Linked DNA regions of Diceros bicornis minor. The protein of the gene in region 2 interacts with the protein of the main gene of each other region in a biochemical or structural test. Links are inferred from orthologs where the notes say so. Each region holds a gene or a part of one and is shown on either strand. Other genes may lie near its edges.

Region 1 (7,694 bases), on a different chromosome or scaffold from region 2:
AATCACTTTGCTGCTAAATGGGAAATCTGTAGTAAGTGGGTAAAAATGGAAATGGAGAGATCAGCTGAGAGGTTACTGTAATAGTCCAGATCAGAAATTATGGTGATAGCAGTAGAGATGGTGAGAAGTGTATTTTTTTGTGTGCATGTGAGGAAGATCAGCCCTGAGCTAACATCCGTTGCCAATCCTCCTCTTTTTGCTGAGGAAAAGATTGATCCTTGGCTAACAACCGTGTCCATCTTCCTCTACTTTACATGAGACGTCGCCACAGCATGGCTTGACAAGTGATGCATCGGTCCGCGCCCAGAATCCTGGCCTGTGAACCCCGGGCTGCCAAAGCAGAGCACGAGAACCTAACCTTTAGGCCACTGGGCCAGCCCCCAGAAGAGTATTTTAAAGGTAGGGTTGACAGGACTTGTTGATGGATTGAGGGATAAGAGAAAGAATCAGGGCTAACTCCTATGCTTTTGGTTGGTACATATACAATAACCTGGGGAAGGAACAGGTTTAAGGACAGTAAATCAGGAGTCCTGCTTTGGATATGTTAATTTTCATTTCCAGGTGTAGATGTTAAGTAAGCAACCTAACATATATCTCTGGGCTAGAGATAGAAATTTGGGAGTTATCAGCATATTGATGATATTTAAAGCACTGGGACTAAAGTTACTTAGGAAGAGAGTGAAGATGAAAAGAGGACCAAGGAAATAGCCCCAAAGCACTTAGAGAGTCAAGAATGATTCCCAGACTTCTGGTTTGGAAAAATGAGTGAACATGGTATCATTTACTGAGATATCCCTACCTCAGTGAATGAGAAGAATTAAAAAAAAAAAAAGCTTGGGGAGACTTGGATATGTGGAGAATTTGTACTGGATATGCTGAATCTCAACTGCACATATAACACCCAGGTAAAATTGCTAGTATATAGTTCTCTATAGTGCTACAGGAGATAGATATGGTTTGGAGAAACACACTTGGAGTCGTCAAACAGCAGATGGTAGGTGAAGGCAGGAGAGTGGATGAGATCACCCAGAAAGACTTTGCAGAGAAAAGAGTGCTAACAGCAAACAACAGAGGAGCAAAATTTAGCCCTGAGAGACAGAGGAAGAGGAGCACACACATTAGAACAGTGACATTTCGCTTTTTTCCGAAATCTAATTGTCGTAGTCAATTAAGGAAAAAAAATTGGGGAGAAGAGGCCTTGATGGTATGACTCTGAAGTCTAGCTCCGATAACTGTTGTCTCTCTGACTTTGATTCCTCAATCTCTGTGACTCAGTTTCTTAACAAATAGTGATAATATTTGCTTCATTCTATATCATGAAGCTACCGTGATATTGAACAAGCTTGAATGAAGCAGTTGCAATGAAAAAGTCATGACAATTAAAAACTAGTATTAGACATTTCTCTTTGGATCAGTTTTTCTATTCTTTCTCTTAGAATGGCTACAAATGAATGAAATGAAAGGTAACACAAGCTCTATTATGAAAGAGACTGTAAATAAATCCAAGATGCTATTATTTTTATTAACAAGTCTCACAGAGGAAGAGAGAATAGGGAAGAGAAGTATTAATCAGTTAATTCTACATGAAAGCAAAGTAGGGAAAACACACTGAGCTTCATGCTGAGCTTGAATAACGAAATGTGTCCATCAACTAACTAAAATGAGCACTTGTATTCATCTTTTAGAAAGCTAGATGTTACCCGACTAAACGTTAACGCAAAGTGTGCTTGCAACATGCATGCAAAGAAAAATTCACACACACACAGAGGATGATTCAGTTAAGACAAGCATGGTCTTTTCATTTAGCCCCTTATTTACGTAATTGAGGAAGACTAAACGTCCTTGTATGGCCAACAAGTGGAGGTGAACACAACTGCACCGCGAGTAGAAAGGCAATTAAATATCCCAGGGGCTTAACCACCGTTTTGACTTCGTTTGTGCTAAGTTTTCCAACAGTTTAAGAAACTGGAAAGCAGCTATTCCAATGGGTAGTTCCAGTGCAGTGGTGGTACAAGCCCACTTATTTCTTGTTCACAGTGGGTTACAATATTAAAAAAACAAACAAAACCCCTGCCTTCTAGTCTCGAGGCCTGTTTGAGGGACGGCCGCGTGGATTAAAGGGGACAGGAGCCATCAACACTCTCCCCTCTCTTCCGGCAGGACACTGGTTCACAGGATGTTACTCTAGGATTTACAGAAAACAAGCTTTTGCAAGTGAAACAATATTAAATTGTCTTCAGATTTTGGCAACATCCTGTGCACTTTCCATTTTGTGGACGTTGCGGCCGATCCCCGGCTTTTGACTAAAATAACGGATTGGCGACCGGGTGATCAATACCGAAGGGGTCCCATCTTCAGAACGGCCTATGGTTTCACCTCGAAAATAGAAACTACCTTTTCGAGCAACTGGCCTGCCTTACACAAAATCAGAACCAGCGATTTTTTCTGTTAAGGGCAGTTTGGGTCAAAACATAAAGCTAAAAACCCAATTCCTCCACGAGCGCTCCTAAAGACTAGAAACTGGGGAATGTCTACGGGTCAAGTCCCTCATCTAAAAGGAGAGAGGCTTTCGAGAAGCGAGTGAGTGGAGTCAAGTGACCAGAAAAGCGGTCGAAGGGACACTTCCCCCCAGCTGCAGAGGGCAGCCCCGGCTGGGGACGAGCGCCCTCGCGCCGCTGAGGTAAAGTGCGGCCGGCAGACGCCTCCCTCCCCTCGGCCTGGCTTCCCGCAGGTCCTTGGAGGCGCCCCGCGTCACCTGAACCGCCCCTCTGAGGGGAAGCGCTCCGGTCCGCCGCGGAGCATCTCCACAGGGGCCGGGGCGGAGGGGATCGGAGCCCGGACGCGCGCGGCAGGGGACGGAGAGCACGTGAAACGCCGGCCGGGCCGGCGGGGAAGGACCTGGGATCCAGGACTGCCGGGCTCGCCCTACCTGCCCAGCTCCCGCAGGGCGGGGATCATGGACGCCAGCTCCAGGCCATGCTCGCCCATGCTGAGGACGCGCGGCACTCGTCAACGACGCCGATGCGGACTGCCGGCGTCTCCACAGCTACTCCGGTGGGAAGCCGCGGCGCCCGACGGGAACTCGCGGGGTCCAAAACTCCTCCCGGAAGCCGCCGCCGGCCCCGCTCTGGAGGCGGTATTTCGTTTCCGCGTAGGACCCGGGGGAGGCCGGGAGGCAGAAAGGGGCGGGGCGAGCCGGTGGCGCGCGCTGCGGCCACCTTTCCCTGCGCGGGTTCCGGGTTAGCTCGGCGCGCTGGGGGGGCGGGGTTCGCCGAGCTTGGGTTTTAGCGGCTGCGCTCCGTGCCTCCTAGCCTAGAAGGCTCAGCGAAGCGAGTCCCGCGGATCTCGGGGAGAAAGGGGCTTGGCGGGCCCCAGCCCAGACTCGGTCGCATCACAGGTGTGAGAACTGAGACGATTCAGCGAGTCAAGGCCACCACTAGATGCCGGGTCTCCCCACGGCGTAAGGCCCTCAGGTTCCTCATTTTCCTACCGCTCTCCTGGCATCCTTGCTGAGAGATGCGGGGCAGCAGGTGGGATCCTCCCTGTCCTTTCTGTTTCAGCAGCTTTTTTCAACTTGAAGTCACTCTTCGGTTTCCTTGAGGATTCTCCTAACCTTTAATATTTCAAAAGGGATTGAATTGTATTTATGTGTGTCTCATCAGATCAGCAGCAGTACACTGAATGTCACCGTTACGGGCGTCTACCACCGACGATTTAATTTTTAAAGTAAATCAATGCATTGTGGCTGTAGACGTTTTCTAGCTCAGCCCAATTTGCTTATTCGAAAGATGGCCATCATAAGAGACTGTTAACGTGTAAAAATTATGTATTTAATCAGGCAAAGCCGTGCAGTGTGCTTACCTTTGTTCTTTGGCACGTGAGGAGAATTGTGGATGCAGTATCTAAAAAAATCAAAGTGATGGAATGACAGCCAAATATGCGCCTGCCTCAGGGATTTGGCATTTGCTGTGTACCCTCTACCTTGACCTTGAACACCCCTCTCCCATCGCCCCTCTTCAGACGTTTGCTGAAATGTCACCGGAGAGCCTCCTGTAGACCTGCACACACGCTCACACTGTGTTTTCCCCTCTATCCTGCTTTATTTTTCTTCATAGCACTTGGAAGCAAGCGATGTATTACATACTATTTTATCGACTGTCTCCTCCAATTAGAATGTAAGCTCCTTGAGAGCAGGATCTTTTTTGTTTTTTTCACTGCTTAGATACCCAGGACCTAGAACAGTGCCTGGCACATAGTTGGTGTTCAGTAAATATCTGTTAAGTAGTTGAATGCCAAGGTGGAAAGAACGTAAGATTAGGAGTTAGAGGGCCTGCGCAAGTTCTCATTCCATCTGCTAGAAACGATATTACCTCGGGAAAGTTACTTAACCTCTCGGACTTCGCTTTTTCATCTATAAAATGAGATTGATGATATCTGCCTCACATGATTATGGTAAAGATTAGAATACCATTTCTTAGTTAAGATGAATGAAATATACAACACATGCCAACAAGGATGAATCCTGAAAACGATATTGAGTGAAAAAAGCAAATTGCAAAGGGATACATAATATTGTTATATAACTTACATACCATTTTAAAACCACAAAATAAGACTTTGTGTGTTATGTATACATTCATATACGATAAAAGTATAAAAACATGGTTGGGAAGGATGTACATCAACGCCAGGAGAGTTGTACCTCTGAAAAGAGAGAGAAGGAAATGAAATGATGAGGTTTCAACATATCTGTGAGGGTTTTCTTTTAATAGGATCTGAATTAATCATGACAAATTTAACATTTGTTATATTTGGGTGAATGTCATATTACTATTTTTATCTGTATGGTTAAGATATCCCAAAATGTATAAAAAATAAATATGCTTTTTAAAGCTTAAGTTAGACAACACATGTGAAAAACAATTTATCAACTAAAAAGTAACAAATGTTAGGTATTATTTTTAGATCATATGAAGAAAGATTGTAAAAATTACAATGTTATATGGGAGGCAATAGCGGAATAGCATTGTAATTCTAAAACACAGTGTAAACCCCTAAATGTTAGAAACAATAGAGCTTTGCGAATCCAGTTTAATTCAAAAAGTGATTTTTGTGCAAGGTATTGTGTTAGGTACTTCTATGACACAAAAATGAGTAAGACAGTTTCAAATAGTATACAATCTGGATGTAGAAAGGGTATGATAAGAACCCAGAAAATTAAAAGCAAAGCAACATCTATGAATGCCATAAGAGAGATATGAACAGCATGCACTGGAAAAATAGAGGAGGCGGCTGGCCCTGTGGCCTAGTGGTTAAGTTCTGTGCGCTCCGCTTTGGTGGCCTGGGCGTGGACCTACACCACTTGCCAGTGGCTGGGCTGTGGCTATGACCCAGGTACAAAATAGAGGAAGATTGGCAACAGATGTTAGCTCAGGGCGAGTCTTCCTCAGCAAAAAAAAAAGAAAAAGAAAAATAGAGGAAGGAGAGATCATATCTACTCCAGTGGAAAGGAGGTGGATCAGGAAGGGGCTCAAGGAGAATGTGGCACCACATCTGAGATGAGATGTGAAAGATGAGCAGGACTTGAAGAGACAAAGATTGGAGAAAGGACTATATTCTAACTAGAGGCAGCACTATGAAAAAAAGCATACTGAGGGAGAGAAGAGTGGTCCAGTTTGGCTGGTGTTAGGAAACATTTAGAGTCGTCCAACTGAGACGCTTCTACAGACCTCAGTGAGCAATGGAGAGGCACTGGAAGATTTTATATAAAGAGCGACACTGTCAAAGCTACACTCAAATCTAGCAGGAAGGTGCAGGACAGAATAAAAGGAGGTGGTAGGTCATTTAGAGAATCAAACTTCTTTAGCAGTGTATCAATAAAGGAGCAATTGATGTCATTCCAAGCAGATATCCTCCCTCCAGTAGCCATATGCGTCTCTCCTCCACCAAACTTTTTGAATTTTTCATACAGGCTGACTATATTTCCTCATCTACCACTCAGTCCTAACCTACATACACCATACTCTTTGCCCTGTTCGCCCCCTCTTAAACACCTCTCACCAAAGTCACCAATGATTTTCATACGGCTAAATCCAAAAGATGCTTATCAGTTCTTTCCTTTCTTGACCTCTCAGTAGCATTTGACAACATAGACTAATGCCTCCTTCTTGGAACACTGACTTCCTTTAGCCTACAAGATTCATTCTCATGTTAGCAACACTTCCTTTGCCATCCCCTTAACTGTTGGTATTCCTCGGGATTCTAACTTAGCTTCCTTTTTCTTTTTTATGCCTAGGTGACCTCATTCACTCTTAAGGCTTCAATGAACTTTCCACCTGCTGGACACTCCCAAATTCTTTGCTTCTGCTCAGATCTCTCTCTGAGCTTTATATTTCATATGTCTACCTTCCTACTGATTTTTTTTCCCTTGAATTTCTCCCAGGCACTTTATTTTTGTTTAACTTTTTATTATGGAAAGTTTCAAATATATACAAAAGTAGAGAGAATAAAATAAGGAACCCCCTTATGCTCATCACCCAGCTTCACCAATCAGCATATGGCTGCTCTTTGTTTCGTCTATAACCACCCCTCCCATTGCCCCTCTCCCTAATTGGATTATTTTAAAGAAAATCCCAGACATCATATCAATTTTTCTGTAAATACTTCAGTTCATATCTTTAAATGGTAAGGACTCAATTCTACCTCCTAAATATCAAACCTATCCACTTCCCTCCAAATCCTATTACCACCATTCTAGTTTCAGATAATCACTGTCTCTTGCCCAGATTACTTCAGCAGTGTTGTAGGTTGCCTCTCTTCCTTTGGGCTTTTCCCTCCAATCTATTCTCTTCACTGCGAGATTCCCCAACTTTTTTTGCTCACTCAACAATATTGTTGAAATTTTAAAAGTATGCACCCTAATATGTGCATATTTATTTATTAACCATATATATTTATTACTATATTTTAATATACATATAACTCATGATAATGTAAATTTGGACATAGTACAACTGTTGATTGGTTCCTGTCTTCCTCTCACCGCCCCCTGCCCTTTTATCATTTGGTGTGGTGGAGTGTGAAGGGAGAGTGAGGCAGGAAGAAGAGAGGCTGAGGTGGGTCCCAGTGTCCTTGGGACGTTAGTATTTCCTAAGCCCCAGTGTCCCAGATCAAGTCAACCAAGGGGCGCCAACCAATGTCCTCCTGGAAGTTTCATACAGCATGTATATGGAATTGTCCCCATTGTTGATTAAACTAGGATGGGAAATGACCATCAGGTGGCACCACAACCCAAGTGAGACCAAGATGCAGTTGGTTCTCAGTCAGATGCCCAAACTCCTGGCTGCCTAGCTCTGCAAGTTCCATCATAATGCATTGGATGTTTTTTACCCATTTATGGTATTACGTGAGGATTTTACTGTATAATTCACATTATAGTATAGATTAAAATAGAAATCTTCAAGGAATGAGATAAAAAATATGAACAATTTTATAAGTTTCTTTCTATACCTGAATGGTTCAATGTACACCTCCTTGGTACAGTTATACTCAATAATTTGCATTTAAATACTTTTTAAAAATTATTTATTAGTTAATAGTTTGCATTTTTAATAATCTATAAAAATTTGCTCCTAGGTGATGCTCATGTTGTTTGGAGTTCTACACAGCAGACGGAGCAACCTTTTCAAAACCTA
Region 2 (7,862 bases):
TTGACTAATTCAGAGTTAAAAGACAAAAACAAGATGGTGAAGTTCTCACTGAGGAAGGCTAGAATTCCTAGGCATTGTTTTTCTGCTGACTAAAATGGTGCCCTGAGTTAGGTTTTGAGAAACATTCTTTTAAAGTCACTATATGAAAGTGCTCTTTTATTTCACATGTGGTGAACTATTTTTTTTTATAACTGTGGCATTAGCATTCTGTTCTTGTGTTCTGTGTACTACTTGGGAGCTCGGTACAGTTGAAGGAGGGCTTAGCAGATAGAAATTCTTTTGACAGAGGCCCTAACTACTCTGCTTGGGTCACCTAGTAAAATTTAAACCTAGGACAGTTTCAGTGGTAGTAACGTTGAACACTGCATTTGGTAGTTTTGAAATAACAGCTTGGCTCTTTTTCATTAAATGGTTTTTTGCTTTATAACATTACTCAGACAACTTTTTCTGTTTTTTCTCTCCCAAGTGTATCACTCGTTTTGAGGAGTTTGCAGACAACTGATTATTCTCTAGGCTATGTTGCAGCTTTAGGTTTGCTCACTTGTATTTTGGAGGCCCCATTTCAGGCTGTATGCCTCTTGAGAGAAGGGAATGGGAGAGGGAGGGAGCCTGAGTCCCTGGTTTGGTTTGGTCTCAACCAGGGCCGTGCATAGGTTCGTTGAAATTTTGTCCTTCTCTCCTGGTCTCCCAGGCTGCCAGCCTGTGCTGTTATTCTGTGTACCCTTGCAAGTGGAAATGTATCAAGGTCTGACAGCACCTTTGCTGATTGTCTACTTTCTGTGGCCCACTAGAGGGCACCCTTGTTGAGTTTAATTCCAGTTGGCGTTAAAAAAAAAAAAAGAAGGAATAAAGCTGCAATTTTTACATTGGTACTGAATCCCTGCAGCAACTTGTGGGTTGCTTTGCTTTATAAAAGGGAAGACAAAATTAGAGTGAACTCAATCACTTTTAATGAAAAGAATATATTAAACTTAAAGGGATTTATTCAGCATTTGGCAACATTTATTTACTTCTGTTAGGCATTTGCTGGGCTCTGGATTATAGTTTTTTAAGTCCTCAAAAGTATCACTCCACAGTGTTAAAGTATAACTGTGAAAAAGCATAGTGCATCTCTAGAAGAAAATATTACAGTGTGGGCTGGGGGTTCACCTACAACCAGAAAATGGTGGCAGTGGAAAATGGAGACTCGGGGTAAGCCTCAGATCAAGCACGGTTGGCTTCCACACTGACTTGCATGAAGCACAGTCTCAGTCTTTGTGGAAAAGGAAACAAGATCTCATTTGATCCTCATGATAACCTTGTAAAGTTAGCAGATATGACTCCCACTTACAAGTGAAGAAAGTGATTCAGAGAATTAAAGTGACTTGATGAAGCTCATTAGCAACTGAATCAGGAAAAGAAGTATCTTAAAGCAACCCTTCAGAGAATGTGTTGGACTGATTGTGAAAGGACATGGGTCCAGAAATTTTATTTCCGGCATTGAGTCTGATACTTTGGACTGTTAGTCATTTTGCTTATTGCCTGTCCCTCCCACTATGTATGCTCCAGGACAAGGATGAGCCCCCCGGCCCCATTGTATCCCAGCACCTAGAACAACGCTTGGCACACGGGCTCATTAATGCTTGTTGAATGAATGTTAGCTCAAGAAATGTTATTAGAGAGTTCTGACTCGATTGTCCAATTTTAAGCTAAACTAGAGAGTGAAGAACGATGTGTAGGTAATGATTAAAGCATGAATAGGAATGAAAAGAAAGCAAAATCTTCAAAGAGAAAAATTGGGGTGGTAATCAGGATAAGATAATGGGTAAATAAAGGGAACAGGGGCATTGAAGTTTGTAGAGTGATCTCCAAGTCAGGACCAGGTTTGTCAGCCAGATTATTGTGTGAGAGAGCAAAGCTAAACTAATTAACATCTGAATATAAATTCCAGTTTTAAATTTGGGCACGCATTTGCATATGCTTCACATTCAGTACCTCCAAGTGACTATTTCTTCTTGAAGCCAATGTCTATATAAAATCAGCACCATTCCCAATCCAGTAGAAATATTTCTAAGATACATAACTCAAGACAATAACTGAACCTAAGACACCTAGAATGTGGCTCTGGTTTTCTCCCTATCAGTAGCAACTTCTAAAAAATCAATGTCTAATGTTAGGTCAACAGTTATTTGATACAGAATGGTACAGTGGAAAACTGGGCTTTGGAGCAAGATCAACCCGGACTCCCAACTGTGTAGCTTTATCACATACTAGGCAAGTGACCTTGAGTAAGTCTAGTCTCTAAATCTGTTTGCCCATCTCTGTAATGGGGAATAATATTACATGCCCCATGGTTTAGAGTGAAGATTAAATGAGATAAAGTTTATGAAAAGCGTAAAAGTGCGTGGCGCAGAGTAGGCGCTGTCATAAGTGGATTCTCTTAGAAATGGGTATATCCGGGTGAGGGGCATCGCTCTGCGGAGACATGGAGAGTGAAGAATGGGAGACCGGGGTGCCTTTTAGTTGTAGAAGATGGGTTATGACAGGTGTGGGTTTGGTGTGCGTGGGTCATTGGCTAGCTCTGTAGGCCTGCTAAACCCAGTAATCTGGACATTGTCTTGGCTAACATAGAGGATGTTTTTATGTGAATACGTGTTCACCTGTGAAATGAGGTCGTTACATTGTAAAGATTCATTCTAGCTCAAATATCTGATTGCGCCTGGCTTACCCTCCGAGAGGTGCTTAACAAAAGCTGTTGCTTTAATGAGTGAGCCTCCCGTTATCCCAAAGAAACAATGAATTCGTTAGCAATATGTCGGATGCTTTCCAGTCGTTTATTTTTCGCTAGTTCTAATATTAATGCTTCTTGGGAAAAAGGTGGAAATTGGGGAGGCGAGGGACATGAAAGCACCAAATACCTTGGTTTCCAGGAGCGAGCCAAATTTTCTCCCCTACACAGGTTTAAGGAAGTAATCCAACTCCGGTTCTGGGAAAATCCAATCCGCAGTTTTCCCCTTGCTTTGGCTCCTCGCCGGTCTTACTACCCGCGCAGGGGAGACATTTGCCAGCCCTACGCGAGACCGCCGAAAGTCCACCGGCTCCGAGGAGGGCGGGACCGAAGCTCGGAAGCAGGGAGCAAGGGGCAAGAAGTCTCGGGTGCGCGCGGATAGAGGTGGGCGCCGCGGGACTACAACTCCCGGCACACCCCGCGGGGTGCGCCGAAAGCGGTTGGCTGGGAGCCCTAGCCCCACTGCCCTCGCCGGCCAATGGGACGCAGGAGAGACATCACACCCGGATTCTCGAGGACCAGTGGCAGTACAGGGGAGGCGGGTGCTTCCTTACCACTCACCTTGCGCTCGGAAAAACCGCATTTAAAAGGTCGTGCGGGGCCGGGCTCTGGCGGGTGGGGAGACCAGAGCCGGAAGGCGCGGCGGCGTGCCCGACAGCGGCGCCGGGAGGGCCCTGGTCCCCGAGAGGCACGCTCCAGACGTCGCCGGGGGCGGGGCCGGGGGCGGGGCCTGGCCTCGTTGTGGAGCGGCTCGTAATCCATCATGGCGGCCGCGGGGTTCGGTGTCCGTGTCTGACCAGCGCTGGAGCCGGAGCCGGTTCCCGGGTCCTGCGACTGAGGAGCCCCTCGGTTGTCCACGGCCCCTACCTGCGGGAGGAGGCTGGGCCCCGCGGCGGAGCTCGGGCGATGTGACTGCCTGGCGGCGGCGGCCGTGGCAACGTGCGGGGCCGGGGGAGGGGGTGTCTCGGGCAGAGACCCCCGGGCTCGGGGCAGCTGAGGCGGCCGAGCCTCCTCCCCCCTCCGTCCGCCTCCCGCCCTCCGGGCCGCGAGAGTCCTTCGTCCCTTACAGCCCTGCCCCGGCTCTGGGACACTGGGGTGGTCTCTGTTTCCCCCAGACCCGGGACACCCCGTTTCCTGAGGCGTGGAGGAGCGTCGCCCCCGAGTAAGCCGCCCGTGCCCCGCCCCGGCAGCCTCCCTCTTCCCCCCGAGCCGCCCCTCGCTCCGACTCCCGGCCCCAAGTGTGGCCTCGGAGCCCCCCATTCATATCCCCTCCCTGCTGTCAAGGGGCCTCGCCTTCCCCCCAGGTTGCTCCCGCGAGCTTCTAATGCCCTGACTTCTTCCAATGTCACCTACGACCCCCCTAGTCCCAGCTCAGCCAAAAACTTTAATGCAAACGAAAAGCTTGGACTGGTTTCACAGGCCTTTTAAAAAGCGGACTTAAAAGTTGCTGGCCATGCATTCCTCGTCCGAGCCGAGGGCCAGCTCTGGCTGAAGTCTGGGTGACCCGTGTCCCTTTCCGGAGAGCAGGGTAGAGAAGCGGGAGCGGCAGCTAGTTCGGCAGGAAATTTGACGGAAGATGAAGAAACTAAGATAGGGGGTGGGTGACTTCCACAGGAAGAGTTCTGGAGGAGCACCCCAAGACGATCGACATTTCCTTTACGTGTGGGAATCGAAGTGACTTGAGTATTACTGACCATTTTACAGCATCCTCTGTGAAGGTTTCCGTTTAGGTTTTTCTCCTTGAAAAGAAAAAAGCTGTTATTCAGCCAGTAAAAGACACTTAAAATCCAGAAACTTTTGGGTAGCATTGCAATTACATTACTTCAAATTGATAAACTGCGAAAATAATCGGAACTCCTGTTTACATGTGTCAACCTAAAAACTGCTTCCTTTTGTTATGGAAGATGTCTTTTGTGATTGACCTCAGTTACTGACTTGTGGAGAAGCGGTGAATGTGCAATCCGACGTATACACCGTTTTCCTTCTAAGCTCACTGACTGTTCTGAACGATCTTGAGCCCTCTTCTGGAAAGGGGTGTCTATCGTTACTTTATGGGGCAGCAGCCTGGAAAAGTTCTTGGGGACCAAAGAAGGCCAAGTTTGCCTGCCCTGCACTTTATCAAAGGAGCAGGGAAGAAGGAATCATCGAGGCATGGGGGTCCACACTGCAATGTTTTTGTGGAACATGGTGAGTGCTTTGCAAGCTTTCTGGTCGTGTTTTTCCCTTTGTATTCAGCTTAGGAACGCATATGGAACTTTTGAACAAGAGCACTTGTGTCAGTTCCTTGCATTTCTACTTAAAACTTCTGTTAACTATAGTTCTCTCCTAGTTTTTGGTGGAACTTTCTTTAACAAGAAGTTACTTGGTGACACTGTATGGCTTTCTTCAAAATCTGTTAGAGTTGCTTATTTCTCACCAGATTCCCCTTCTAACTCACTGTTGAAATGGACAAGCCATTTTGCTATTCCGGTTTCCTGAGGAGGTTGGGCTTAAGTGGTTTCTCAGGATCCATAGTCCATGGCTCTGGTCTAACCTAAGGCCTGGGCTCTTCCCTCGAGATGCATAGATGCTTTACTACTTTGTCTACAGAGAGCTTTTATTGTATACTCAAAGTGGTGTGTGCTCCCCAAAAGGTTAAGAACCACAGATCCTAGTTGACACTAATATCCTTGACCTTTTCCATCGTAAGTAGGACTTGAAAATACTCACTTTGGAGGTTTGTGGGAAAAATCAGGTGGGGAAGCAGCATTCCTCGTGCATTGAGGATACCCAACTTTTAGATATTTTACCTTACACAAAGAGTAATCCTCTCCCCATGTATGGAGCTTTCCTCCTCTTCTTTCCTGTTTCAGATGACATCTGGGGCAAGAAAGGTTGTCTTTGACATTTTTGTGAATATATTTGGCATTTGAGTGCTGGCAGTACATGTGATACTGTTCACTTCCAGTAATTCTGTGTGAAGTTTTAAAACTAAGGGTCAGCTTAGGCTGAGGTCTGTAACAGGGGCCCGCCCTGAACCAGTTAATCAGGGTCCTGTTTGTGCTGTTGCAGCCTGACGTTTTTCAGCCTGTGTACTTTATATGAAAATATCGATTGAGCCCACGCGCCCTATCAGCAAATGTAAGGTGTGTGTAAGTGGCATATACTGTACTTCGAAACTCGGTCACGAGTACCTCTTAACAATGGGTGACAACAATAAACAAAGGTCTCTGTTCAGTGAACTGGTGTTTCATAGTTGAGGTTTGACCTTACAGAAAAATATTCCCCTCATCTAAATAGTCTGGGTTCTTGGATTTTACTTTGCCTTGAAACATTAGTTATATTTTAGCATTGGTTTTGGACAGGCAAATGTGGTAATATGTTATAATGCTTCCCCAATTCTGGATTTATAAAGTAAATTACCATTTTTAACTAGTGATGCTCATGCAGCCTTAGATAGTGAAAATTGGTACCAACTTTTTGGAGAGCTTTGGTCGTATCTATCAGAATTTAAAATGTACGTACCCGTGACCCAGTAATCTTACTTCTAGGAAACTATCCTAGTATGGAAGAGTGTAGTCCCCTTGATGTCCTAGTACCCCTTCAGGGGGTCCAGGGGTTAAAACTGTTTTCATATTAATACAGTACTAAGATGTTATTTGCACTCTTTGCACTAATGGTGCAAAAGTAATGCAGACTCCTTAGCATGAATCAAGGCTGTGACATCTACTACGCTAGTGGCCGTTGTATTCTTCACGCCATGCACTCATAGTAAAGAAAAAAAATCGGGGCTGGTTCCGTGGCTTAGCGGTTAAGTGCGCGCTCTGCTACTGGCGGCCCGGTTTCGGATCCTGGGCGCGCACCGACGCACCGCTTCTCTGGCCATGCTGAGACCGCGTCCCACACACAGCAACTAGAAGGATGTGCAACTATGACATACAACTATCTACTGGGGCTTTGGGGGAAAAAAAGGAGGAGGATTGGCAATAGATGTTAGCTCAGGGCCGGTCTTCCTCAGCAAAAAGAGGAGGATTGGCATGGATGTTAGCTCAGGGCTGACCTTCCTCACAAAAAAAAAAAAAAGAAAGAAAGAAAATCGATTTTTACTTAAGAATGTCCTTGATGGCAGCAAAAATTATTAATTTTATTAACTCTTGACCCTTGTGTATATGTGTTTTGACTGTTCTGTGGGATAAAATGGGAAGTATGCATACGGCATTTCTGCTGCGTGCTGAGGTATAAGGGTTATTTCTAGGAAGGGTGCTTGGGTGGTTGTTTGAGATGCAAACTGAACTAGCCACTCTTTCATGGGCTACCATTTTCACTGCAAACTACAGCCGACGAACGATGGTTATTCAGACTAAAAAATGTATAAAGGAGTCTTTCATGGACAACAACGGTATTATCTGTTGTCAATGATAAAATTTTAGGTTTCCAGGGGAAATTAGGATTTTGGAAAACTTGTATTTGCTGCTGTGTTGGAGAGATTGGTGGTAATATTTGCAAATGTGATATTTTGATATAATGAAATGTATTATTTGGAAGATCTACATAATTCAGTGAACCGATATTTTCTAAATGATCAACACATGAAGTTGTAAAATCACACACAGGTAAAAGATCCGTTCAAGGTGCAAGGTGGACAGTGGATTTTAATGTGGCAATGCAAACGTTCATTGATACGGTTTTAGATTCTACATCACAACTAACCTTTAAGAAACTACCAAGTTTTGGTGTAGCTTCAAAGAAGAATAGTTACAATTATCTAAAAACAGCGGAGAAGTTATTTTCCAGTAATAATAAAATGTTTATTTTTAAATGAATAAATAATTTAAAATTTTCAGTTTAAATTTCTATATTGCAAATATTGATGAGATAACCTATATAAACAAAAGCCCTTTGAGGTCCTCAATAATTTGCAAGAGCGTAAAAGAGGTCCTGAGATAAAATTTGAGAACTGCTGCTGTAGAAAGTCGACGAAGAAGGCACAGGAGGATGTTGATTGCCGGCATACTGTCAAGTACTAACACCGAGAGACGGCCATGTAGTGGTAAGTGGAAAAAAGCAATTTGGAGATCAGTCTGCATGGTAGAGCCCCATTTTTTTTTTTTTTTTT
Region 3 (7,164 bases), on a different chromosome or scaffold from region 2:
CTTCTCACGTGGAGCCCTCTGGCTTGACCCCAGTCCCGTCAGTCCCTGCTCTAGAAAGCCCACAGTCCCAGCTCCCTGAGGCCCCACTCTTCTGGACCTGGCTGTACAGGGCACCATCTGAGCTGTGGCCTTTGCTGCCACTGCCAGCTGCAGCTCCAGCTTCAGGGAAGGCCAGGCCCTGGGGCTTGGGAGCTGGGAGGGGCTTTGTGCTCCGAGGGGGTGGCACAGCATAGTCATCAGTGGCAGGGTTGTAGGGGAGCTCGTAGCCCTCCTCCTTCACCCGGGCCTGGCACCACCATGCATCCTTGGGCTCTTGAGGCAGATCATAAAGGCTCCGGAGAGCAGCTGGGGCCAGGCCCTCAGGTTCATCATAGATGGGGTCTTCTTTGGGGTCCTTCAGCTTGGCCTTCAGCAACTGCTGGTGTGCATGCTCATACAAGTCCCAATAGAGAGGTTTCTTTAACTGTGCCCCCTCCCTTGTCTGAGCAGGGGTGCTGTCCAGGGGGTCTGAGTATAGGGAATCCTGGGAAGGGCCTGGAGGAACACGAAGGGAGTCTAAGGGCTCAGCATACAGTGCTGGAGGGCTGCCCAGGACCTCCTGAGGGGGGGAGGTCAACTTCCCCTCTGCCACTTCTCCTTCATGGGAATCAGCTCTGAGAACATCCTGCCCCTGACCAGCCTTTCCTTGGGCCTTCTGCCGGTGGATAGCAGTCTCAACTGCCTGAAAGATGTCATTTCCCTGTGCCGTCTGGAAGGTGAAGGTTCCAGGGCCGGAGGGGCAGCGGCGGCCAGCCTCAAAAGAGAACATGACCTGAAGAGAATGTGGAGAGAAACACATTACCAGGAGCCATGAGAGGAGGTGAGTCACAGGGCCCTACTACTTAGGGGATCTACAAAGAAAAGACTACCTGGAGAAGAGGGTGGGGTCATGGGCTAGGCAAAGAAGGGTTATCCAGAGGGCAGAGCTTTCCACCTTCCTGTCCTGCCCCACCTCCCCCACAGCTGCCCAGACCTAGGAAGCCAGCCCTCCCTGACAGCCCCCGCACCTTGTCCCTGCCATAGCGACGCAACAGAGTGTAAGGCCAGAAAAGGAGTGGCTCTAGTATCTGCCTCTGGGCCCCCGCGGTCAGGAGAGTGAGCCTCTCAGCCTCCACCCTCAGCACATAGGAGCCGTGCAGGCCGCAGCGCTCAGCGGCTTCAGTCCTCTGCACGGTTACCCAGAACTGGGATCCTGGAAGGAATACACAGTTAGACGGGCACCTGGCCGGGACTAGGGGATGGGGCAGATTGTCCAAGCACCCACTTGGAAGCCAGCTCTCAGGAGCTTCCTACTTCCCCAGGGGTCCCTGGACCCTCTAATTATCCCCTTCCCAAGGGCACTCTTCCTTTCCACCCCATCCCTGCCCGGGCTTCTCAGGCGTCTACCTTCCCAGGTGGGGCTATACAGGGAGTTCTCCAGCATCTCCAGGGCAGAAAGCTTGGGTGGGTTCTCAGCAGGCGCCAGAGCCCAGCTGCCTTTCTGGGGTAAAGAGAAAGAGAGTATCGAAGACCCTGTAATTCCCTCAACGCGGCTCCCAGGATCTGAGCCAACCCAGTTCCTCCGCCGCAGTAACTGCCCCCACCCCCGCATCGCCTCTAGGCCCGGTGCGGCTCGCAGGAGCCCCTCGCCGGCAGTCCCGGCCCCCTCACCGGAAAGGCGTTGCGGCACAAGGTTTGCACCCAGGCGGCGCTGGACGGCGCGTCGGCCGCCAGCAGGTGGGAGCGCTGCGCGGTGTCCAGGCGGAAGGCAGTGGCGCCAGGCTCAGGGGGGCTTTCCACGGCCACGGGGGCTACGCTCACACACTCCGCCAGACGGATCACCTTGCAGTCCAGGCGGCGCGAGCCCCCTCGGCCCCCTCCAGAGCTCGACCCCTTGTGGTCAAAGAACTCGAGCCGCGCTACGCCGTGGGGGCTGGCTGGGTAGAGCACGGCCCAGGTCTTCCTCCACCTCTGCGGAGAGAGAGCGAGAGACGCTGCGGAGGGGGCGGGCGAGCACGGGCAGCCCGGGAACCGACGGGGAAAGAGAGACCGGCGCTGGCCGATATTGGGTCTGAGGCTTCCCGATGGGAGGCGAACTCGCCCAAGGAGGAAGCCGCTCCGTCTCCCCACGACCAGAGAGGGCGTACCCGGAGCCCGGCGGGCGCTTCCCCGGAGTGTGCAGAGCAACCTCGCGGGAACGTCACAGGGCTCTCCAGCTCCGGGCGCCGCGCTCCAACCCGCTGCCCGCCTCCTCCCTCTTTCTGGGCTCTATCGCCCACCCCTAGCTCTGAGGGGGTTCGGCAACCCTTGCCCCTGACTACCTTGGTACCGAAACGCTGACTCTGCAAAAAGAGCGTCCCTTCCATCACGGCCCCGTCCATCGCCCGCGGCGGTTCCTTTCGCACTTCCTGGCCCCGGGGCTGCGGGCGGGGCGGGGCGGGGCGGGGCGGGCCCACCGGAGGCGTTGCCGCCCCTCCCCCGGCCCCTGCGGACCTTGAAGGATCAGGAAGGAGAAGAGCAAGAAGGAAGGGGAGGGGGTCCACCTCCAGGTCCCTGCCCTTAGCTCTAGGACGCGCGCAAGTGGCTCCACCAAGAGAAACCTCGCGGTTTTGGCCAGAGGGCTCTGGCGCCTGGGCTTGGGGGCTGCGTGCGATGTCATATGCTCAACGTGACATCAGAGTGAAGGCCGTGACATCACCTCGAAAATGGTGACGGTCGCCCTGGGGCACTGGAGGGGCCACGTGGGCCCTCATGGCCTCAGTTCCCCTGACCGGATCCGCCCCCAGCCTGGCCGGAGTTGGGCTGTTTACACTCCGCGGACCCAGGGACATGGAGAAAGGGCTAGGGGCTGGGGACTGGAAGGCTTCCCGGAGCCCGGAGCCGAGTCGCGGCCTCCAGCCGCTGCAGGGGCCGCCGTCCGGGCCGGTCCGCGGCCCGGTGGCCTCTTGCGTGTCCAGCTTCCTGACCGCAGCTGCCGGGCCTCCAACCTGCGGGAAAAGAAAGCTTCATTGAGCACTCCGGGAAGGTCGGGGCGGGGGGAGGTGGAGCGGCAACGGCTAGCGTCACGGGGGAGGGGAGGACTAAGAGGAAAAGAGGAGGGAACTGGCCAGGGAGCAATCGAGGGAGAAGGCGGAATGTGGGAGGGCTCAAGGGGACGTGGGAGGGACTAAAGGAGAGGGAGGAGAGAGGGGGGGTCCAGTCTCCCCTGGCCGAGCACTTTTTTTTTGAAAGTCCTAGGACTGATCTCCAGGACCAGCATTCTTCTCCCAGCCCCTAGGGCCCCCGCTCAGCCAAAGGTAGGGGGAGTCGCGCTGCCGGCAGGAGGAAGGGGAGTTGCGGATGGAGAGGATGGTGCAGGGACCAGGGGAAAAGGGTGATGTAGGATGGAGTCGAGGGGAAGCCAACCAACTGAGGGTTTTATTATTGTCAAAGAAGAACGAGACACAAGAAGAGTGGAGAGAGGAAGCAGATATTTGGGGGGGGGGGGGAGGAGACTGCAGAGTGTTCCAAATAGGGCAGCTGGGAGGACCCTAAGGCTGGGGGCTCCTCTTGTGAGGCCCTACCCCTGGGCCCCCCAGCCACAGTGTCCCCAGAACAAAGCTGTCCTGTTGGGTTGTTTGTCTGAGTTGGGGGAAGCATGTAGGGGGTGGGGGGGCTTGCTGTAGAGAGGCTGTTCTCAGCCCCAGACAGAGGGAAGGCCTTGGCTGAGGAGCCGATTGGCGCCCTGGCCTCCGGTTGCCCAGTGACAGCGATGGCAGTGTTGGCAGGAGACTTGGACAACCCCCCACTCCCCGCCAAGCTTGAGGCCTGGCCCTCCTGGGCCCCTTGACCCTCCAGGGCATGTGAGAGCCTGTGTGCTGGGTAGAGTGTGCAGCGGGTTCTGCATGTATTCTGATCTCTGCCCTCTCTGCCTTGGAATCTGCCCAGATAGGACTCTGGGCTTGGCTCCCATTCAGGGGGCCGGAGATCCAAGGGTTTCCTAAGACCCCCTTGCCTGCCTTTCTCCACAATCAGTAGCTGTCTGTCCTCTGTCTGACTAGCTGAATGGGGTCATCTGGGTCCCTCCCACTTCTGCTCCTTGGCTCCTGTCAATCCCTGTCCTCCTCACCTGTTGCCTGCCTCTCTCCTTTTCTCCCCAATCCTGTGTGCCCGGCTTTCTCCCAATCACCTTTTATCCATCTTCAACATTGTCTTTCTCTCTGCTGTCTCTTTCTCTTTGGTCCCCTTTCAGTCCCACAGTTTCCCTTCCTCTCACCTCCTATCTGTCTGGGTCTTCCTCTCTGTGTTTCTCTTGTTCCATATCTCTTTATCTTGACCATTCTTTGACTCTTGGTCTCTAATCACTGTCTTTTGATCTCTGGGTCTCTTAGATCAGTGAGTGGGGGTAATGGAGGCGATGATGGCAGAACTAGGGAAGGACATTGGAAGGCATAACAACTAATAGTGAGAGTTTTACTTTTTACCAAAGGGAGGGAGAGCCTCTCTCTCTATGTCTCTGTCTGTCTCTCTCTCCCTTTTCCCCAATCTGGGTCTCAGTCTGCGCCTCTTTGACTCAGTGTTTCAGACTTATTTAGTGTATGTTTCTCTCTCACTGTCTCTCTTAGTCCCTGGGTCCCTCTCTCTCTTGCACTGTCTTTCTGTCTCTGGTCTTCCTCAGTGTCTCTGTTCCTCTCATGACCTCTCTCTTGGACCTGGGCCTGGCTCAATCTCAGTTTCTCTTTCCTTCTCTCTCTCTGGGGCACCCAGGCCTTCCCTGCCATGCAACCTGTCAGTGTCTGGCAGTGGAACCCGTGGGGGCTGTTGCTGTGCCTGCTGTGCAGCTCGTGCCTAGGATCTCCGTCCCCATCCATGGCCCCTGAGAAGAGGGCCGAAAGCCAGGGGCTGCGCTTCCGGCTGGCCGGCTTCCCCAGGAAGCCCTTCGAGGGCCGCGTGGAGATACAGCGAGCTGGGGAATGGGGCACCATCTGCGATGACGACTTCACGCTGCAGGCTGCCCACGTCCTCTGCCGAGAGCTGGGCTTCACAGAGGCCACAGGCTGGACCCACAGTGCCAAATATGGCCCTGGAACAGGTGAGCAATGCTCCAGGAATAGCCTAGATATTGCCTAGGTGCCTAAGTGCAGGAAGAGGGAACACCAGGATGGCACAGCCACAGGTACACAGGACACCAAGAACAGCCAATGTCAAGTAAACCCAAGGGTGACAAACCAACCAACATAGTCACATCTCAGAGCTGTGTGACCTTAGGCTGGCCAATGCCTTTTCTGAGCCTCAGATGCCCCGTGTGCAAAATGACTAGATCATCTCTAAGTTCCTTTCTGCTGCAAAAGTATGATTCTACAAAGCCACGTGCAAGGACAGCCCTGATACAGGGGAGCCCTGTATGATTAAAGTATAGCTGGTGGGTTTCATGGGAAGCTGAGAGCAGGTAAATGATGTCTGGATGTCCCAAAGCCAGAAGGGATCACAGATACTGCAGCTGACAAAATCGGAGTATAGGCCACAGCTGAAACCAACAAGCTGGAACTGACTAAGGCCAAGTATAAACTCTAGAACGAGCATGAATGTGGGTAGTAGGGACTTACGAGCAAGTCAAACTGAGACCTGGGAGTGCTTGCACTGTATGAGCCCACAATGGGATTGATGGACAGAAGCTGGTGCAGTCTGCAGCTGATTCTCAATTCCCACTGGCTAGACCACTTCTGGAATAAAGTGTCACTTGTAGAGCCCGCATTTTAAGAGAGAGAGTAGAAAATGGAAATACTTTCAGAGGAGAGCTGCCCAGAGGTGAAAGATTAGAAGCCAAGTTTCAAGGGAGAATAGCTGAAGAAACAAGGATGTTTGGCATTAAAAGAAAAAGCTTTGGATAGCAATTACATGATGGTTGTCTTCAAATATGAGGACAGTCCTTTGGCTGAGGGATTTTTCTGGATGGCATCAAAGGACTGAATTAGACCTGGTGGGAGAAAGTCATAAAGAGTCACAAGGACTTTGTGATGGTTCCAGTGGCCTAGGGAGGCGAGAGGTAGGTGTCCCAGCAGAAGCTGGGTAAGTCCTATCAGGATATGCATGAGGGGTCCCTGCACATTGTCTGGGACAGACAACATTTGAGGGTCCACCCAATTCTGAGAGGAAGTCAGTGCTGTTCATTTCAGTTTGGTCCAGGCAGGAGAAGAACAAGGGGTAATGTGGCAGCACAGATAGGGTGGGCACATGGGAGAATGTGAGGCTGAGGTGAAAGGATCTTAGATTTCCAAGTCTCACAAATGGCTCAAACTCCTAAGCCCCCCATGTATTGGCTGTGAGGTCTTAGGCAAGCTACTTAATTTTTCTGAACCCCAATTTTATATAAAATGGTGATAATACATCCTGGCAGCTCTGTTCTAAGAATTATCATGTATGTACATACTACAGCAGAGTGCCTAACACACATAGGTACTTGATTAATTGTAGCTATCATTGAATGGGTAAGCACTCATCAGAACTTTAGTGTTGACCCTTGATTTCTGTTCATGCTACCACATTCTTGAGTATCCCCAGACCACCACCAACCCTCCATCAATTCTATGCTCCCTTTCCTATTCCCTTCCAGGGTCCCCTGTCTCGTCCCCACCCATTATCTTACCAGAAAAATGGGATCATCATGGCCAGGTGTGAGGCCTCCATGCTCACTCTCCCCAGCATCCCCATCACTCCTCCCATCCTACCTCCCCAAGCCTCTCTATCTCCTCATCTCCCCCTCCACAGGCCGCATCTGGCTGGACAACCTGAGCTGCAGTGGGACTGAAAAGAGTGTGACTGAATGTGCCTCCCGGGGCTGGGGGAACAGTGACTGTACCCACGATGAGGATGCCGGGGTCATCTGCAAGGACCAGCGCCTCCCCGGCTTCTCAGATTTCAATGTCATCGAGGTCTGCAGTTCACAAAATACACACGCACACACACACCACCCAGGATGGCCAGACAGAGAAGGCGGTAGGGGGTTATATGTGGTTAGAGGAGATACTAGATTGTAGGGGATCTCATATGCTCCATGGGATAATTGGATTGGTAGGAGGGTTGGCGGGGTGGGGAGACAGGACGAATGATAGAGGTCCCAGACACTGTAAAGTCCGGGTTTGTTTTAGCATTAGCATTCAAGTTACT

The links. The genes of interacting proteins can lie anywhere in the genome.
Region 1: of the proteins of ABL1 (region 2) and ATR, one has a biochemical effect on the other in vitro, tested with the Homo sapiens proteins (2 studies listed by BioGRID, with this or other methods). The link is inferred for Diceros bicornis minor from reciprocal best matches to the Homo sapiens genes ABL1 and ATR.
Region 3: the proteins of ABL1 (region 2) and DOK1 form a complex in vitro, tested with the Homo sapiens proteins (5 studies listed by BioGRID, with this or other methods). The link is inferred for Diceros bicornis minor from reciprocal best matches to the Homo sapiens genes ABL1 and DOK1.

What each region holds. Positions count from the first base shown.
Region 1 is NC_080741.1:11,310,610-11,318,303, reverse strand, and holds the start of ATR (serine/threonine-protein kinase ATR), read right to left. Parts: upstream 3,069-7,694; 5' UTR 2,989-3,068; coding exon 2,930-2,988; intron 1-2,929. UniProt on the Homo sapiens protein: Serine/threonine protein kinase which activates checkpoint signaling upon genotoxic stresses such as ionizing radiation (IR), ultraviolet light (UV), or DNA replication stalling, thereby acting as a DNA damage sensor.
Region 2 is NC_080767.1:38,114,691-38,122,552, forward strand, and holds the start of ABL1 (tyrosine-protein kinase ABL1), read left to right. Parts: upstream 1-4,817; 5' UTR 4,818-4,818; coding exon 4,819-4,954; intron 4,955-7,862. Other genes in the region: umcharacterized LOC128092248 homolog, read left to right, coding at 4,110-4,208. UniProt on the Homo sapiens protein: Non-receptor tyrosine-protein kinase that plays a role in many key processes linked to cell growth and survival such as cytoskeleton remodeling in response to extracellular stimuli, cell motility and adhesion, receptor endocytosis, autophagy, DNA damage response and apoptosis.
Region 3 is NC_080751.1:14,465,125-14,472,288, forward strand, and holds the start of DOK1 (docking protein 1), read right to left. Parts: upstream 3,069-7,164; 5' UTR 2,400-3,068; coding exon 2,340-2,399; intron 1,990-2,339; coding exon 1,690-1,989; intron 1,520-1,689; coding exon 1,426-1,519; intron 1,232-1,425; coding exon 1,047-1,231; intron 812-1,046; coding exon 5-811; 3' UTR 1-4. Other genes in the region: LOXL3 (lysyl oxidase homolog 3), read left to right, coding at 4,777-5,089, 6,766-6,929. UniProt on the Homo sapiens protein: DOK proteins are enzymatically inert adaptor or scaffolding proteins. They provide a docking platform for the assembly of multimolecular signaling complexes. DOK1 appears to be a negative regulator of the insulin signaling pathway.